Daphnia pulex: one gene and its partner. The protein of the gene in region 1 purifies or fractionates together with the protein of each later gene. This does not show direct contact. Links are inferred from orthologs where the notes say so. Each region holds a gene or a part of one and is shown in the gene's direction. Other genes may lie near its edges.

The links. Proteins that work in one complex are often made in the same cells at the same time.
Region 2: the proteins of ataxin-2-like (region 1) and protein LSM12 homolog A-like purify together in Homo sapiens (affinity purification with mass spectrometry; 4 studies listed by BioGRID and IntAct, with this or other methods). This does not show direct contact. The link is inferred for Daphnia pulex from reciprocal best matches to the Homo sapiens genes ATXN2L and LSM12.

Annotation. Positions count from the first base shown.
Region 1 is NC_060021.1:9,703,527-9,707,284, forward strand, and holds the start of ataxin-2-like, read left to right. Parts: upstream 1-952; 5' UTR 953-1,166; intron 1,167-1,224; exon of another isoform or gene 1,225-1,403; 5' UTR 1,404-1,569; intron 1,570-1,634; 5' UTR 1,635-1,717; coding exon 1,718-1,912; intron 1,913-1,974; coding exon 1,975-2,182; intron 2,183-2,257; coding exon 2,258-2,367; intron 2,368-2,432; coding exon 2,433-2,557; intron 2,558-2,620; coding exon 2,621-2,889; intron 2,890-2,961; coding exon 2,962-3,758. UniProt on the Homo sapiens protein: Involved in the regulation of stress granule and P-body formation.
Region 2 is NC_060021.1:9,119,725-9,123,203, reverse strand, and holds protein LSM12 homolog A-like, read left to right. Parts: upstream 1-1,597; 5' UTR 1,598-1,719; coding exon 1,720-1,843; intron 1,844-2,043; coding exon 2,044-2,177; intron 2,178-2,243; coding exon 2,244-2,353; intron 2,354-2,417; coding exon 2,418-2,544; intron 2,545-2,608; coding exon 2,609-2,686; 3' UTR 2,687-2,926; downstream 2,927-3,479. Other genes in the region: tubulin alpha chain, testis-specific-like, read left to right, coding at 1-395, 457-702, 766-816. UniProt on the Homo sapiens protein: Nicotinic acid adenine dinucleotide phosphate (NAADP) binding protein. Confers NAADP sensitivity to the two pore channel complex (TPCs) by acting as TPC accessory protein necessary for NAADP-evoked Ca(2+) release.

The DNA of each region.
Region 1 (3,758 bases):
TTCTCTAACCCAGTTACACTTACCTTAACGATTCAAAATATATCCAACAAGTAGAAAACGATGCATCAATTTTGATGCTGGAAATTTTTCTCAACTAGAATTCAATTTTCAATCGTCAACATCAGCAGACGACTTAAAACGTGCCTTTCGTTTAGTCCTACCGGCCGACCGACAAGTTCTGTGTAACTGCTGAAAAAATACCCCCATTCGAATCACAAAAATGCTTTACTTAAAAATATATCTAAAGCTTTAGATAATTTATTGTAAATGAATTTCAACAAAGCATAATAAGTTTAATCGTTATGTCGAGGCAACATCGGGTTATCGACTTATCGTGGAGATGTTGTTTAGCAGCACTGTTCTCGTCGTCTTCTTTTGTTTTCAAAAACACAACCTATGGTTCGATGATCTCTGGTTTTTCGTTTGGCTCATTGATGAACTGCTCAGTTTTTTATTTGCATTACAAGGCAAGAGTAGGACTTCTTTTCTCTATTGCAGGTACTAAAGGATTTTATGTGTCGTGCTGAATGTGAATCATGACCACAAAGGAAGACAACAACCATGGACAATTTTTATTGGTATGTATACCTCTGCTGTGCTTGCACTATGTGATTAAAATTTTACTAATTTTTTAAATAATTAAATTTAATTCCAATCTTTGAGATACCTTTGAATTAACTTCTTTCCTTGTTCCAAATTCCATAATACAGAAAGTAGTTGGACAGTGGACAAATAGGCCTGTCATTCCCTACAACTAGATCTTGTTGTGTTTCGTTTGGTCTTGCTTTATGTGATAATTAATGCTGGTTGTAGAGTTGTTTATTTTTGTTATTTTGTATAAAATAAACAAAAAATTTGAAATTTAGCAATATTTCACAATGCCCGTTTATTAGCTTTAGATCTTTACCGCTAGATGACCTAGGAAAGTTGACTAAAAAGCCACCTATGAGACGATTGTACAAGTTTGTTGAGAAAACCCTCGCAACGTCTCATTTGCTACGCGCTTAAAATAGATCCTTCATCAATTCCACATTATCTTCATCGATTCATCTGCGAGAAACGACGGGCATTGAATCATTTCGAATTTTGTGACTGGAAAAGAGTTTTAGCCCGCTGAGAAAACTAGTCTCCAATCGGATTTGGATACCAACTCTTGAGATTCAGAGGTACCTCACTTTTTGGTTCCCCAGTGGTGGCCATATGTATTAGATTCACTGAACATAGGCAAGACACAGAATGACTTCTTGATGGTGGTGGATTTTTCACGTCCTCAGGTCTAAGAACGTTTTCTTTGGCGAATTAAAATTTCTACCCGTTCCTGTGACGGAAAGAAAGCAAACACTACCCCCTACGGAACTCATCGGCCGCAAGTTGAACATTAAGCCTCGCTTTTCTACACGCAGATTTGAACGACAAAAGGGTAACGTCGTGCGTGAAAAACCGGCCCCACACAAATTACTCGTCCGGCTCACGAGATCGCAGACTCTCGTTTCCTTTTCTACCCCGAGTGAGCCCAGAACTCGACCGTCAACGATTTCTTTAGAAACCAGGGAATTGTACATTTTCAAGGTAATGATCAGTTACTGTAATCAATCACCACACAAGTTTTGAGTTGAACCCGTCTTTTCTTACAGGCTGTTATTGGGGTTTTGTTAATTGTATGAGTATTCAAGAGTCTACTTTTCATCGGAAGTAGAAATTCTGGAGGGCAAACACAATGAATAAGTCTAAAGCAAAGATGGGCAAACCCTCCACCCCTCAAAATACATCGGGGAACTGCAATGTTGCTGTAACAAATCGCAACACACCACCTTCTAGAAACAAATCGGACAAAGATATCCCATATGAAGGCATTTACCAGAATTTAAGATTTTGTGAAACAATTACTTCCCTCATGGGGAATACAGTTCAGGTATGGTAAATTGTATGACCTTGTAGTCCACAATTTTAGGTTCAACTTGTTTTGTGTTTCAGATCCAACTTTCGAATGGGAAAATATTTGAAGGAATTTTTAGCACGTTTTCTCCTCAGTTAGAAGTTGTTTTAGAACTGGTTCATACAGTTGACCCCAGCCAACCTGATAAAATTGATGTTAAATCAGTTTCTAGGGAGGTTGTCTTTGGTTCCCAAATGATTGTGATGATGAGCTCCAAAGATGTAGAACTGGACTATGCCACTAAAGGTACACTGCTTCAAATAATGACTGCTTTTGCATAATTCATGCGCACATCACTAATGTTTGAAATTCTTATTTCAGATTTTGCCACTGATACTTCCATAAGCCGTTTTAATGGGCTCAGTGGAGAAAAAGAGCTTGAACCCTGGGAGGGTGATGGTGATGATTGTAACATTTCACTGGATAATGCGGTAATTTAAAGCAATTATTATTGTTTTGTACGCATAAAATTTACTGTTTCTTTTTTAAAATTTAGAATGGATGGGATCCTAATGAAATGTTTGCCAGAAATGAAAAAGTATATGGAGTTCAAACTAGTTTTGTGGAGGATTTGTCACAGTATACGTGTAAACTAGAAAGGAGGGACTCTGCCGAATTCAAGTAAAATTGGATTTTTATCCTCGACAATCGTGTAATCGTTAATTAAGCTAATATTTTTTTTAGGGAAAGAGAAGCTCAAGCATCTATCCTGGCTAATAGTATCGAAGGAAACGCTGTCTCTAAAGCGCATGCGGACCTTGAAAACGCCAGTGACGAAGAAGAAAAGTTTTCGGCCGTGGTAAGACCTAGCCATGAGTCTCGTGAACGCCGTGAGCCCCGAGACTTCCGAGACTTTAGTAATCGTTCGTCTGACCGAGGCGGGAGCACAATGGGTGGCAGCGGAGGAGGTAGCACAACTTCTGCTAATGCCGGCGGAGGTAGTGCCCACAGCTGTACGTAAACAAATTCTGTCTTTCATGCAAACGAACTGCCTTATTAAAGTTTCGATTTTTTTTTTCATGCAGCCAAATATGTTCATCCAAATAAGCGGCCTATTAAAAGCGCCATCAACCAAAACATGGGCAAGATGATGCGCTCGACGCCCCCTCCCCACGGTGCTCACGGAGGACACGCTCACCCCAACCTAGCTCCGAGACATCAGTCGGTAGGCGGAGGAGGTGGTGGTGGAGGTGGATCTTACCACGGTGGCAACAACTACGATGGTGACGGTAGGGGTGTTGGTCACACTTCGCAGTCGCACCCGAACAACTCGGGTCCAGTACACCACGGAGGTGGAAGTTATCACCAAGGCGGGCCACAGCATCAGCCATTCCAAGGATCTTCGCAAGGGCGGGGCTCGTCTTCCGGTCCCTACTATGGTCGTTCCCAAGGACCGCCTGGTGGTTATAATAACAATAAAAATTCTGCTCAACAATCAGATTCTCGCGTTGCGAACGGCGATGAGCGCAAAGTCAACCGCGATTCGGCTTACGATTCGAAAAGCGGTCACGCTCCATCTCATTCACACGCCCCTATTTCCTCGTTGCCACAACGCGATCATGGTCCGAAGGAACAGCGGAAGAACTATGCTGGTAAGCACAATCTTGTGCATTCCGAAGTGAAACAAAACTCTAAAAGTTTCTATCTAAAACCAGGCAAAACCAGAGACGATCAAAACTCGGATCTGAAGAAGTTTAGTCAAGATTTTCGCCTGGCTGAAAACGCCGCTGGGGATGAGAAGAAAGCAACTCCTTCTCCTACTGCAGGAAACCCAGCTCCGGCGCCCAATAAAACAAGTACACCTCCTCCTCCAGCTCCGATT
Region 2 (3,479 bases), about 580 kb from region 1:
GACCCAGCTACACCAACTTGAACCGTCTGATTGGCCAGATCGTTTCTTCCATCACAGCTTCTCTTCGTTTCGATGGCGCTTTGAACGTTGATTTGACTGAATTCCAGACCAATTTGGTCCCGTACCCTCGTATCCATTTCCCACTTGTTACCTACGCCCCCGTCATCTCCGCCGAAAAAGCTTATCATGAGCAGAATTCCGTTGGAGACATCACCAACGCTTGCTTCGAGCCGGCCAACCAGATGGTCAAATGCGATCCCCGTCACGGAAAGTACATGGCTTGCTGCATGTTGTACCGTGGTGATGTCGTCCCCAAGGATGTCAATGCTGCTATTGCCACCATCAAGACCAAGCGTTCCATTCAATTCGTTGACTGGTGCCCAACTGGTTTCAAGGTAGTATTTTTATAGCAATTGCCCACAGGCTGGTTCTCATTGATTTCTTTCTCCTCGTTAGGTCGGTATCAATTACCAGCCCCCAACTGTCGTTCCTGGTGGTGATTTGGCCAAGGTTTCCCGTGCCGTTTGCATGTTGTCCAACACGACTGCCATCGCCGAGGCCTGGGCTCGTTTGGATCACAAGTTTGATCTGATGTACGCCAAGCGTGCGTTCGTCCATTGGTACGTTGGTGAGGGTATGGAGGAGGGAGAGTTCTCTGAGGCTCGTGAAGATTTGGCCGCTCTCGAGAAGGATTACGAGGAGGTAACAATTTTGATTACGATTTACCCCCCTAGATGATTTTATAATTTATTGTTTGTAAAACAGGTCGGTATGGATTCCGTCGAAGGCGAGGGAGAAGGTGGCGATGAATATTAATTGAAAATTATCATTCCTTGTTAACCAAGAAAAACATGTACCCCTTTTATCTAGTGGCAGGTGCTTGTTGCTTGCTTTCTAGTGTTTCTCGTCTTAATTGCTCTATTTATTTAGAGCGTTTAAAGCCAATATGATACTTCTCGCGTTAAATCCTCTTGTCAATGTTTTATTTCGAACGTCTTTTGGTCAGTTAGTCAGCAATATTTTTCAGCTATGAAAAAGATAATTAAGGATTGTCCATTAATGCAAGTAAAAGATAGTTAAGAATTGTCCATTAATGCAAGTATAAGCATATTTTGGAATATCTGGTATCTGTGATATTAAAAACAGATGAATTTATTATTAAGTGTGTAGCTGGTAGAAAACGTAGTGGTCTTCAACATCTGTATGCGTCATGTTTTTGACAAACACACATGTGACCCCTTTACAGAACATCAATAAAATTGCCGCATAGTTTAAGTTGACTTGAAGTGTTGTGAATGCCAACTGCATCGTAAACTTAGGTAACAGCTGCATCAGCATCTGCTTGTTTAGTTCCACAGACATTCACCAGTAAATGCGAAATATTTGAGTAGGTTATTTATCCACTACCACAAAAAAATATGGAATAATAAACGACGAAACTTTAGCTAAAAATAAAAAAAATAATAATTATAATTCCCGCACGAAATTTACAAAAAAATGAACGACAACGTCACTTCTGTCTGTCAAACGCAGGGGATAACGCGGATTTTGGAATAAAGAGAAGGTAGGGGAATGGGTTTATGGGTGCCCGTGCGGCCGGCATGTCTGCTAGACTCCGCCTACTTTTTACTTGATGTTACCAGCGTTGTCTGATCGGAGTGTTGTTGTGTCTCGCCCCGTTTTTTGGAGAATTTTTTCTGTTTCTTCTGGAGCCAAAATATGGCGTCGGATGGCAATGAGTACTTTTCGGTCGGAAGTCTAGTTTCGTGCAAAACATGCCATAATCAAGTGATCGAAGGCGAAGTCCTCGCCTTTGATCAACCTACCAAAATGCTGATTCTCAGTAAGTTTACCGGCTCTTTTAACTTAACCGATAACTCACGCTCTTGTCGGCTACTTGTCACGCTCATACTTTTTTTTTCCTTGGCACACGCTGTTTGTTTAACTATAAACTCGTTTTTCAAACTGTGCAACTCATTTTCTTCCTTCTTGTTGTTAGGGATATTTGAATTCAGTCTAATAATAGACCTCTGCTCTTTTCAGAATCACCTTCTTCGTGTGGAAGACCCTCTGTCAACGATGCACATGTTGTAAATCTTGGGCAAGTGAGTGATGTTCAAGTAAAGAGAGAGGCAACTTCTTCTCCACCTCCCCATCCAGTTCAGAATGTCGAAAGAGTAAGTTTTAAATACTATTTACTTTTATCAATCATGCTATATACATCTTTTATCCTCGATTGGTAGCTGAAGAAAAGGGTGCGTATGGAAGTAGAAAGAAAACAACACATGATAACTGCCCTGGAGTCTGGTGTTTCTCCTGAAGGGCTCAAGCTGTTTAATGCTGTCAAACGAACGTGAGGATAACAGCAGGGAATCAGAGAAACAACATAATCTATTGTTTATAAAAATTAACTACAGGATTGAGGATGTTGCATGGGAAGGCAAAAACATTCGAGTCATGGATCAAGTGACAATTAGTCCCCCGTATCATCCAGAAAATGTCCAGGGCAATATGGAAAAGGCTGTGAACCATGTTAGAAAAATTGTGAGTGTCTGGATTAATCACTACTATACATCAAATAAGCTAAGATTTTATTTTCTTGTTATAGGTTGAAAAGTACATGAAAGACCATTCAGATACAAAAGGAGGAAGCAGTGAAAACAGTAATACATTAGCTTCTCCGTGAAATCAGGCAAAATATGGCCCCACTCTTTTCACGACGACCAGTACCATTTTCTCCATCCTGCTTCACCATCTTCTCAAAAATTCTAGATAATAAATAAATACAACAACTTCAAACAAGCAAAGAGAATGCTGGTTCTTCACAGCTGTAAAATACGTCCGATTAAAAAATACTTGATGATTTTCGGAGCGTGTAGTGGCGTATGAAATGGCGAGATGATATACAATGATAACTTCTTGTTTACTTTCATTGAGTTTTTATTTTAAGTACTTATATTGAGTTAAATTATTATTGCTGTAGCCAACTGATTTCAATTGGCCTTGGCAAATTGGATTTTGTGTGATACTGCATTTTTTGTTCTGATTTAGACCACTTTTCACTCGGCCAGTACAACTTAGTAATTTTTTATATTATTCGTTTTCTTATCAATCAATAAGCAAGTTGTCGAGTTCTTACTATTTTTATCTAAGTAAAATACTTCAACAAACAATTCCTTCAATTCCTTCTCATGAGATTACAATGTCACAGCTGAGCTGACCGGGTTATATTTGTTAAGTAAAGGGAATATTGATTTTGTCAAATGCTGATGCTTCTGAGATAACGCCAACCCGAATCACGGAATCATCATATTTATAACAAAATTCAAGATTTTTTTCCCTTTTTTTAATTTTATTTCGATTAACTTTAAAACTGGTCGCTAGGTGGTGCTCATTCAATTTTCATTTATTTTATAAATGTCAAGTTGAAGTTAGTGATTTTCTTTTTGAAATTGACAAATTCATTTCTGAACAAATAT